Linked DNA regions of Drosophila melanogaster. The protein of the gene in region 1 purifies or fractionates together with the protein of each later gene. This does not show direct contact. Each region holds a gene or a part of one and is shown in the gene's direction. Other genes may lie near its edges.

Region 1 (5,703 bases):
TAGCAGTAGCTGCAGATCCAACGTCACCAACAACAGCAGCCATCCCGAAATCGAGCACAGTGTGTGCAATCATATGCATATTGTTGGGCTGAGCGCCGCCAAAAGCCATGTCAGCACCTATTCCAGCTTCACCACACCAGTGATCCCCGCCAAGCTTAGCCAATGTTTAGACGCTTCCCAAGACGATGACGATGAGCAGCGAGAGTTTAGAGACAAAGACGAGACACCGAGCACAGCGAATCGGTTCCCATATCCGAGTGAGTATGGTGCAGAGTTTGTGGCATCTGCCGGCATGTTGGTCATACTGTTGCTAGTTGGCCATTGCCACAGGACCTTGAGCCCTCATCGCGCCAATGCCCATGACAAAGACACAAAGACTTTACATACCAAATTAGTTGATAGTTATGCTTTAGGACTACTCGCTTATGCAAATTTTGAGAGCCCATCCATCGCGGCCGCCTGCTTATGAGTCTCGATGCTGGGAGCAGGCGGTTCAGACGGATCTGGACATGGATCTGTTTCCGTTGCCAGTCGTCAATTATGACGACTGGGGTCGCGCCTGCGCTGTGACTTTTCCTTAGTTCCTTACGCAAGCGAATTCAAATCGAACCGTATCTGTGAAAATCGTGAATCTCAAACTCTTGAATGTCCTCGAACAGTATTGTTAAACATACTTCAGTCCCTAGGATCAGACGCAGGTGCGACACCAAAACCGAATTTGGCGCTCAAATAGACTTATTTAGACGTTTTTAGGTACTCGAATTGATAAATTTTGTTGGCCGTGTGCGTGTTTTTGAAAAGCGCAGCTGCACAAGTAACTTGCCATATCTGTTTAAGATCTGTTAACCCATTTTGTATCGTGTAACTCGTTTTGTTTTTCTCTGGTCCAAGCTAACTAGCAAGAGTAAACTAGCAACAATGCCACCAAAGCCACATGCAACACAAACTAGTCCTCACCGCCCACTGAGATATCTGGAACCCATAACAATTCGGCTACTGCTCGGTGTAAGACAGCAATACTAACAATAATATAAACGTATTCACCATATGAACTAATCGAATAATCAACTATTTATACAGCGTAGCCTACCCCAAATCCTTCCCAATGATTGTAATGATTGTAACCTACAATATCTCGGCAGTCCCACGCCCTATTCATGTTAGATGTAAGCAACCGAAATATTTTTCGGCAGTTATTACTTTTACACTTTTTGTTTGAAACAAAAGATATTTACCCATTTTATATTTTTTTTGTAACTCAGAATTTAGCTTAAGTTTTTAATCCTGACCACCGCTTAAATTTACGTATCGAACTGCATTTAAGCACATGAGTTTTTTATATTTTTATTCAGCACCACGCTACAAATGTTTCAACCATCACATATTCGTATTTATGTTTACCTTGTTTTGGTTTGATATGCACTTCTTTTATTTTAGTTTTATTTTATATATATTAATATTATTTTTTGTGATAATTTAAAAAAGGCAAAACACTCGAATTAAACTTTTAAAATAATTAAATAAACTACTATCAATATTTAACGCATAAACATTAGAGTTTTGAACATGTGCCTAATGTTTGAAATTTGTATTCTATATTTAATGTGTTGGTACTTTTGGTAAGTAGTATAATTTAGAAATTAACTATAATTCAGAGATTCAACAGAATTATGAAAATTAGCTAAAAAGGCTTTAAGACTAGCTATATAGGCGGCACTGTTCCGATGAACTGGTTCGGTTCGTTGGCCGTACATATAAGAATTCTCAGTAGAGCAATATGGCGTTGACTTCGCGTCTGGTCACATTACTGGCATAGGTTTTTTTCGCACAACTCATAATTGTCGTGAAAATCCAGGTTTTGGCCCAAAATGACCACAATCGCGGATTTATTCACAAAGTATAATTGCACAAATTGCCAGGATGATATTCAGGGCATTCGAGTGCACTGCGCGGAGTGCGAAAACTTCGATTTGTGTCTGCAAGTAAGTAACTCACACATACACGCCGTCGAGCGACGCACGTATACATGTTGCAGTAGGGTGGTTCGCTCTTTTTGAGGTTCTAGATACTTGTATATAGATTTGTAAATAATAAAAATCAGTTATTTTAACAAAATATTCTTGAATCACCCTCTTTGGATGGTCAAACTAATGGCCATATGGCCTCAATCCTCTAAATTAACGTCACCCAGATCTTGACAAGAAAAATATTTGCTTTAACTTTTTGTTAATTTAAAGGAAATTTGTTTATTGATTTTGGTAAATAGGTAGACTATCGTAGTTAATTTAATTAAAAATTACTTCCTTACGAATTAGCAGTGTCATTTTTATTTAGTTAAATGCCATAAATTAAAAAGAAAAAAATGTCAAAATAAGTGTCTGAATCTTGTATTAAAAAAAGGCCTGACAAAGCGTAAATTTAGGGAATATGAAATATGTTTCTGTTTTAATTTCCTAATCAAATTATTTTTATCGAGGAACTATTTACACGTTTTCTTTGTCAACATAATCGACCCACCCTGTTACACCCACACTCGTACAATCTAGAGATGCGTCGCCAATTTGGAACCAAAAACTGACTCATCTAGACATTCAAATAATACATACACACAACCGGCAATTTCACCATATTGATTAAAAAACAGCTGACTCTGTATTTATATTGTATTGTTTATTTTTTGCGCAGTGCTTTGCCGCAGGTGCGGAGATCGGCGCCCATCAAAACAACCACTCCTACCAGTTCATGGACACCGGCACTTCCATATTGAGTGTATTTCGTGGAAAGGGGGCGTGGACGGCACGAGAGGAAATCCGCCTGTTGGATGCAATCGAGCAGTACGGCTTTGGAAACTGGGAGGACATTAGCAAGCACATTGAGACGAAGTCAGCGGAGGATGCCAAAGAGGAGTACGTGAATAAGTTTGTAAATGGCACGATTGGAAGGGCCACTTGGACGCCGGCCCAGAGCCAGAGACCCCGCCTTATCGATCACACTGGAGACGACGACGCTGGTCCTCTGGGCACCAATGCTCTCTCTACCTTGCCTCCACTGGAAATCAACTCCGATGAGGCCATGCAGCTGGGCTACATGCCCAACAGGGACAGCTTTGAGCGGGAGTACGATCCCACGGCAGAGCAACTGATCTCGAACATCTCATTAAGCTCCGAGGATACGGAGGTGGATGTGATGCTTAAGCTGGCCCACGTTGACATATACACCCGCCGACTCAGAGAGCGTGCTCGCAGGAAACGGATGGTCAGGGACTATCAATTAGTATCAAATTTCTTCCGAAACAGAAATTACGCTCAGCAACAAGGACTCACCAAGGAGCAGCGCGAGTTTCGGGACAGATTTCGGGTCTACGCCCAGTTCTACACGTGTAACGAGTATGAGCGGCTATTGGGATCACTGGAGCGCGAAAAGGAACTGCGCATTCGACAGTCAGAGCTGTACCGATACCGGTATAATGGCCTGACCAAAATCGCGGAATGCACACATTTCGAGCAGCACGCCGCAACAGCGACGCACCGCTCTACAGGACCATATGGCCATGGCAAGACCGTAAGTTTAAGGCTCCGCAACAGGGGTGCCGAAATCGAACTAACCATTAAATATTTTATTTGGTCTTGAAAATCCGAACTTTTTGGAACTTTGTTATTTTTTTTTTTATTATTAAAATCCAAACATTACCTTTTCTTTCGATTGTTTCACAAAAATTAAAAGAGGTGTTAGGTGACCGGAACCGGTAGCTTTATAATTTTATCAACAATGAGTAGATTAACTTAAATTGAAAGAAAACAAATGATTTAAGTTGAATGTATAGATAAAAGTTTGGATAAATCGATTTGGAATACTTAATACAGAATATTAAATGGTCAAATTGGCTAGTTTCGATTTCATTCCCCTTGGAGTAAGCTTTTCCCACTGAGAATGCATGACGAGTTGAATATCGTGTGTTCTGCCTTGCTTTAACCGTCGTCCTTACCTGAACTGACCCAACTCTTACAATCGCTTTTCCGTCTTGTCTCACGATATTCAGCTCCACTGCATAATAAACGCGCCAAACAACGAGCGTTCGAATGGTTCTATAAGACAATGTTTAACCACAGGACCACACGCATACCTCCAATGGAAGTCATCGGCCGCCAAGCTCTTCCTTGCACTCCCCACAACCGAATCTCAGAAAGGTGTAAGTATTTTGGCAAAAAATTGCAATTACCTTAGAACTTGAATAATTCGGTTTTTCGTTTATTTAGCGAAATGTCAAGCGGCGGCGAGGCAAGTTCAAATTCAATCGCACCAAGAAACACGCTCCACATCGCCGACCCGACCTGCTCCGGCGCATTATTGCCCAGCAAAAACTACTTGGATAGCTGTCGGGGATCGTCGGCAGCTACGATGCTGCAGACGACGGGAATGGTAATGGGGGTAACAGTGGACTCGGGAGCGACGACGGGAGTGACTTCCACGGCTACGACGATGGCGAATCTGCCAACGAACTCGGCGAAGGGAAGCCAACAACATCTGCAGCCGCTGCAGCAGCATCCTCAGCTCCTGCAAAGCGGCAACCAGCACAAAATGCAAAACGAGGCCGCCGGCGGAGGCAGTGATCAGGTGCCCAGCATGAGCCTGAAATTGCGCACCCAGCTGGAGGAACTAAAACATCTGCCACAGCCGCCGGGCAGTGAACTGCTCAGTCACAACGAGCTGGATCTGTGCAAGAAGCATAATATTACGCCCACCACCTACCTCTCGGTTAAGACTGTCTGCTTGAGCGGAGCACCATCGTTGGGTAGTCCTATGGAGACTTCGCTGCGCAAGTTCTTTATCAAGTGCGGCTGGCTGAGCCACTGAACATCTTCCAACTTCCCGCTCCCCTTCGATTAAGAGCCACATGCATTTCCAAGGACTTCACTTTATTTTTGTATTAGTTAGAATAGGTTAAAGACATTTTTATACTGTTCAACTGTCGTTGGCATTTTCATCAAGGTAAAAACTACAAAACTGAAAATCAATTTACTTGTATCAAGTCAAGCTCAATTACAATAAGTGTTGTTCCTTTGTGTGAGATGTCGGGATTCAGATATTGTGTATTAACTAAGCTTAAGTAGGGGACCCAACCAATTGAATATGTATGATATGAATTGTAAATGAAGTAATAAATGTAATAGTGAATGTACAACAAGGACGCGACTTGTTTCTCGGATCTCACAGCTGGGAGACCGCTTTGGACTGAATGCCGCTAGGATATGTAAGAAGTAAGGTATTGAGTAAGCCTCTGATAGCGATAATACCGCGTTGAGTATTTATATTCGTATATTATTTCTTATGGTAGCTAGTTTTCTAGGCAAGATTCTGAACAATGCATTTGAACGTAATTCATTAAAGCCCATGAGAGCATGATAATCAATGTACTAGGCTGAGGAATGGAAAACAATGCTGGAAAAAATATATAAATATCTAATATGTTAACACATATGGAATGTTTTATAAATTAGCGAAGATTAAAACTTGTTAAATGAAAATGCGGTTATCTAATGACATTCTTCGGTATTATAAACTTAACAAAATCACTCATTCAGTTCAAGAAACCCACTAGTTATTTATCCTAGCTTATGTTCGTCCAATGCGGCACCCTAAAGCATGCACTCTGTAACCGTATACCTACAAAAATATATCATATATTTAAACAAATTTATTCTC
Region 2 (3,656 bases), on another chromosome or scaffold:
GGACACGAGGCTTGTTCCGGATCTGCTATCCCAAGGAGCGGCCGCCAGTTTCAGCGGGTGAGTAATGCTGCATTTTACATCACATGGGAGTTATTTAATCCATTTCCATTCCCGTCGCGCAGTGCCCACCTATTTGTCACCGATCGAGACACACTGCTCGAACATCGACTACTTCCCGCAGGCGGAGGACGAGAAGATCGCCAACGAGGACGCCACATCGCGTCTCCATTTGGCCCGCTCCTGCATCGCTCTGTTCATCATCAGCTTTGTGACCATCTTCTGTGCGTTCTGGACCGGATTATCCGGCTGCTGGAAGCGGTCGTCGGGCGCCATCACAGCCACCTCGATACTGCTGCTAGTCACCTGTCTCCTGGCCGCCGGCGCCATGGGACTCTGGCACACCGTCGAGTTCTTTGAGAAGGAGAAGGTCGTGGGCGAGGATTACTTCCAGCAGTGGAACACGGTATGTACACCAGCTGCATTGGGCATGTATGTGGATTAACTAATGATGAATATCTTGATTTATTAGGTCCTGCGCGACAACACGAAGATCGCCTACGACTGGTCGTACATCGTGGCCTGGGCAGGAATCGGAACCTGTCTCCTGGCGTCCATTCTGCTCTCCGGCGCGGCCGTTTGCCTGCGCAACGAGCGGGAGAAGGAGGAGCAGCTGAACCTGCAGTACCTGATGCCAGGTATGTCCATCGTGCTGACCCTCTAATATAACTAATGACTAATTTTCGGTTTCCATTTCCAGTTTACTCGCAGAAGCAGCCACCCTATCCCCCTTATGCCAACTACGCCCAGCCGCAGATCTACCCAGGACCTTACTATCATGGCTCGCAGTACGGACCCTACAACTACTAGAGGCACACCCGAAGGGGCCAGCCAGCTTCAGCCAGCAGCTGCAATTGAGTTATAGAGACATAGAGATCACAAATCATGACCAGGAGGGAACCTGGTAGCCCTCCCCAGTAATCAAAATAGAGCAAGCGCTAACGAAATCTTAAAACGCATACATTCTGACAATGAAAATATTACTTAAAGCATCAATTTTTTTTTTCGACAAGAATCTAGTTTGTAGTCTATATAGAGCTATATAGTATATATATATATGCTTGTATGTATAACTGATCGTGGGACTTGAGTCAAAGTTGCGTCCAAGTTTTTGGTGCGCGAATTGTTTGCGCGTTATTTTGCAAATATCTAAGAGAGACGAATGGATGGATGGTTTTATATGTTGACCACGGCGAGATGGCGATTTAAAGACGGAACAATAAAGAGTTAATTTATTGTAGCACGTAACGTACATGTAGCGTATCTAAAATAATAATAAAGAAATATGTGTATGTATCTAAGCTAAAAGTTTCATTGTACAATGTATATGAATGTAATAATGCGCGACAAGCTTCAATTGTCTTCCAAGTATAGTGCATATTGTATGTAGAGCTGTACGTTTAATGAATAAAAGTTTCTTACGTTAATTTAACAGTTTTTAGCTCCTTTTGGCGGGACTTCGTTTTTGTTTTTCCACAACTGGGGTATTCAAGTTTTGTTAATAAGCTTATCAAGTCGTGTGAGAGAAATTTTTGACTTTATTAAAACTAAACAGAATTGTAGTCTTCATTTCACTCTGCCATTTGTTCTCGTTTCGTTAATTCCGAAATATTTTGAAATTGTTGTTTCTGATAGTTAATATTCCACCTATTGGTCCACCTATTATGCCAATGTGGTGTTATGTGATCTGGTAGAAATATGCTTATTGTTTAATATTTTGGATAAGCTTCATTAGATTTGTTCCTACATTTAAAAATCGATTTCTAATTTAGCCGTTTTTTTTAAATGGCCAGAGCCAGAGTTGCCACCCTGCAGTCCAGCGGCGTTTTCCACACTAGACGTCTGCATCGATAGTATCGCATAAGCTCACCGATTTCCGATAGACCCGTATATATGTACGTGCACAATTTCAATGGAATAAACAATCTTCTTGCAGCAAAGCCGACGTAAACATAATAACTATAGAAGTATGAGCGCAGAGAAGTCCGATAAGGCCAAGATCAGTGCCCAAATCAAGCACGTGCCGAAGGACGCGCAGGTGATCATGTCCATCCTGAAGGAGCTGAATGTCCAGGAGTACGAGCCGCGCGTGGTCAACCAACTGCTGGAGTTCACCTTCCGTAAGCGGCGATTAATGCCTTGCTTTTCCCACATCATTTTCCTAAATGCTGTCTTGCATTGCAGGCTATGTAACCTGCATTCTGGACGACGCCAAGGTGTACGCCAACCATGCGCGCAAGAAGACCATCGACTTGGACGACGTGCGTCTGGCCACCGAGGTTACGCTGGACAAGAGCTTCACCGGGCCGTTGGAGCGCCACGTTCTAGCCAAGGTGGCCGACGTGCGCAACAGCATGCCCCTGCCACCCATTAAGCCGCACTGCGGTCTCCGACTGCCGCCCGACCGCTACTGTCTCACCGGCGTCAACTACAAACTGCGGGCCACTAATCAGCCCAAGAAAATGACCAAGTCGGCGGTGGAGGGCCGTCCACTGAAGACCGTCGTTAAGCCCGTCTCCAGCGCCAATGGTCCGAAGAGGCCACACTCCGTGGTGGCCAAGCAGCAGGTGGTGACCATTCCCAAGCCCGTCATCAAGTTTACCACCACTACGACAACGAAAACGGTGGGCAGCTCCGGCGGATCTGGGGGCGGCGGTGGTCAGGAGGTTAAGAGCGAGAGCACCGGCGCCGGCGGAGATCTCAAGATGGAGGTGGACAGCGATGCGGCGGCCGTGGGCAGCATCGCTGGCGCATCCGGTTCGGGAGCAGGAAGTGCCAGCGGAGGAGGAGGAGGAGGAGGATCATCTGGCGTTGGAGTGGCCGTCAAGCGGGAACGTGAGGAGGAGGAGTTTGAGTTTGTGACCAACTAGCGAAACGACATCATTTACCTTAAATTAATATTCTTAAACCAGACCAAAGCACTTGCATTTGGTTGAGCGAACTGGGGGTCTAAATTTCAACTCGAATGTGAAGTCCCAAAAACCTTAGTATAGATTCGCCCGTTAATCATTATGAAATCTACGTTTTATACACAAATACAACTACCAGATTTTCATATTAAATATAACATTTATTTTAGACTCCAGTCGCGGATAAAGTACATGTAATGAATGTGCTGAGTGGGATGAGATTACTTTAAAGCTAAGATGATGCAGCAGCCAAGGTCCATGATCTGCAGATACTCGGAGCCGCCGTCCTGCAGTCGAAAGCAGCATTCCTGTGGGATAAAGGCAGCAATAAACAAGAGGAATCATATCTATCTATGCAGTCAGTACGTACGCCCAGCTTATCGCAGATCGTGGCCTTTTGCGGATCATTCAGCCCCGGATGATGGACAATGAACTCGACGAACTGTTCCATCATTTGGCCAACGCTGTAGGCGGAGAAGCCAATCTCCCGCACGAACTGCTCCAGGCGCTCGTAGTTCCCAGAGCGACAGACCTCCAGGTAATCCTCCAGATAGTACTCCGGTATAACGCCCGACATCTCGAACAGATCAGCAGTGTTGATGATGTGCTCGGGCCCTTTAAGGCGGTAGCAGGACTGCAAGGTGGTGATAGCGCGTCGCAGATCTCCGCCGGAAATTTTGACAATGGATT

The links.
Region 2: the proteins of Ada2b (region 1) and Taf9 purify together in Drosophila melanogaster (affinity purification with western blotting; 4 studies listed by BioGRID, with this or other methods). This does not show direct contact.

What each region holds. Positions count from the first base shown.
Region 1 is NT_033777.3:8,236,589-8,242,291, reverse strand, and holds Ada2b (transcriptional adaptor 2b), read left to right. Parts: upstream 1-1,776; 5' UTR 1,777-1,868; coding exon 1,869-1,982; intron 1,983-2,685; coding exon 2,686-3,561; intron 3,562-4,039; coding exon of another isoform or gene 4,040-4,109; coding exon 4,110-4,189; intron 4,190-4,256; coding exon 4,257-4,854; 3' UTR 4,855-5,178; downstream 5,179-5,703. UniProt on the Drosophila melanogaster protein: Component of several Gcn5-containing histone acetyltransferase complexes that regulate nucleosome organization; involved in acetylation of histone H3, particularly on Lys-10 (H3K9ac) and Lys-15 (H3K14ac).
Region 2 is NC_004354.4:17,840,233-17,843,888, forward strand, and holds Taf9 (TBP-associated factor 9), read left to right. Parts: upstream 1-1,928; 5' UTR 1,929-2,026; coding exon 2,027-2,177; intron 2,178-2,241; coding exon 2,242-2,927; 3' UTR 2,928-3,116; downstream 3,117-3,656. Other genes in the region: CG6398 (uncharacterized protein), read left to right, coding at 1-57, 123-463, 530-695, 758-867; CG8142 (uncharacterized protein), read right to left, coding at 3,188-3,274, 3,337-3,656. UniProt on the Drosophila melanogaster protein: TFIID is a multimeric protein complex that plays a central role in mediating promoter responses to various activators and repressors.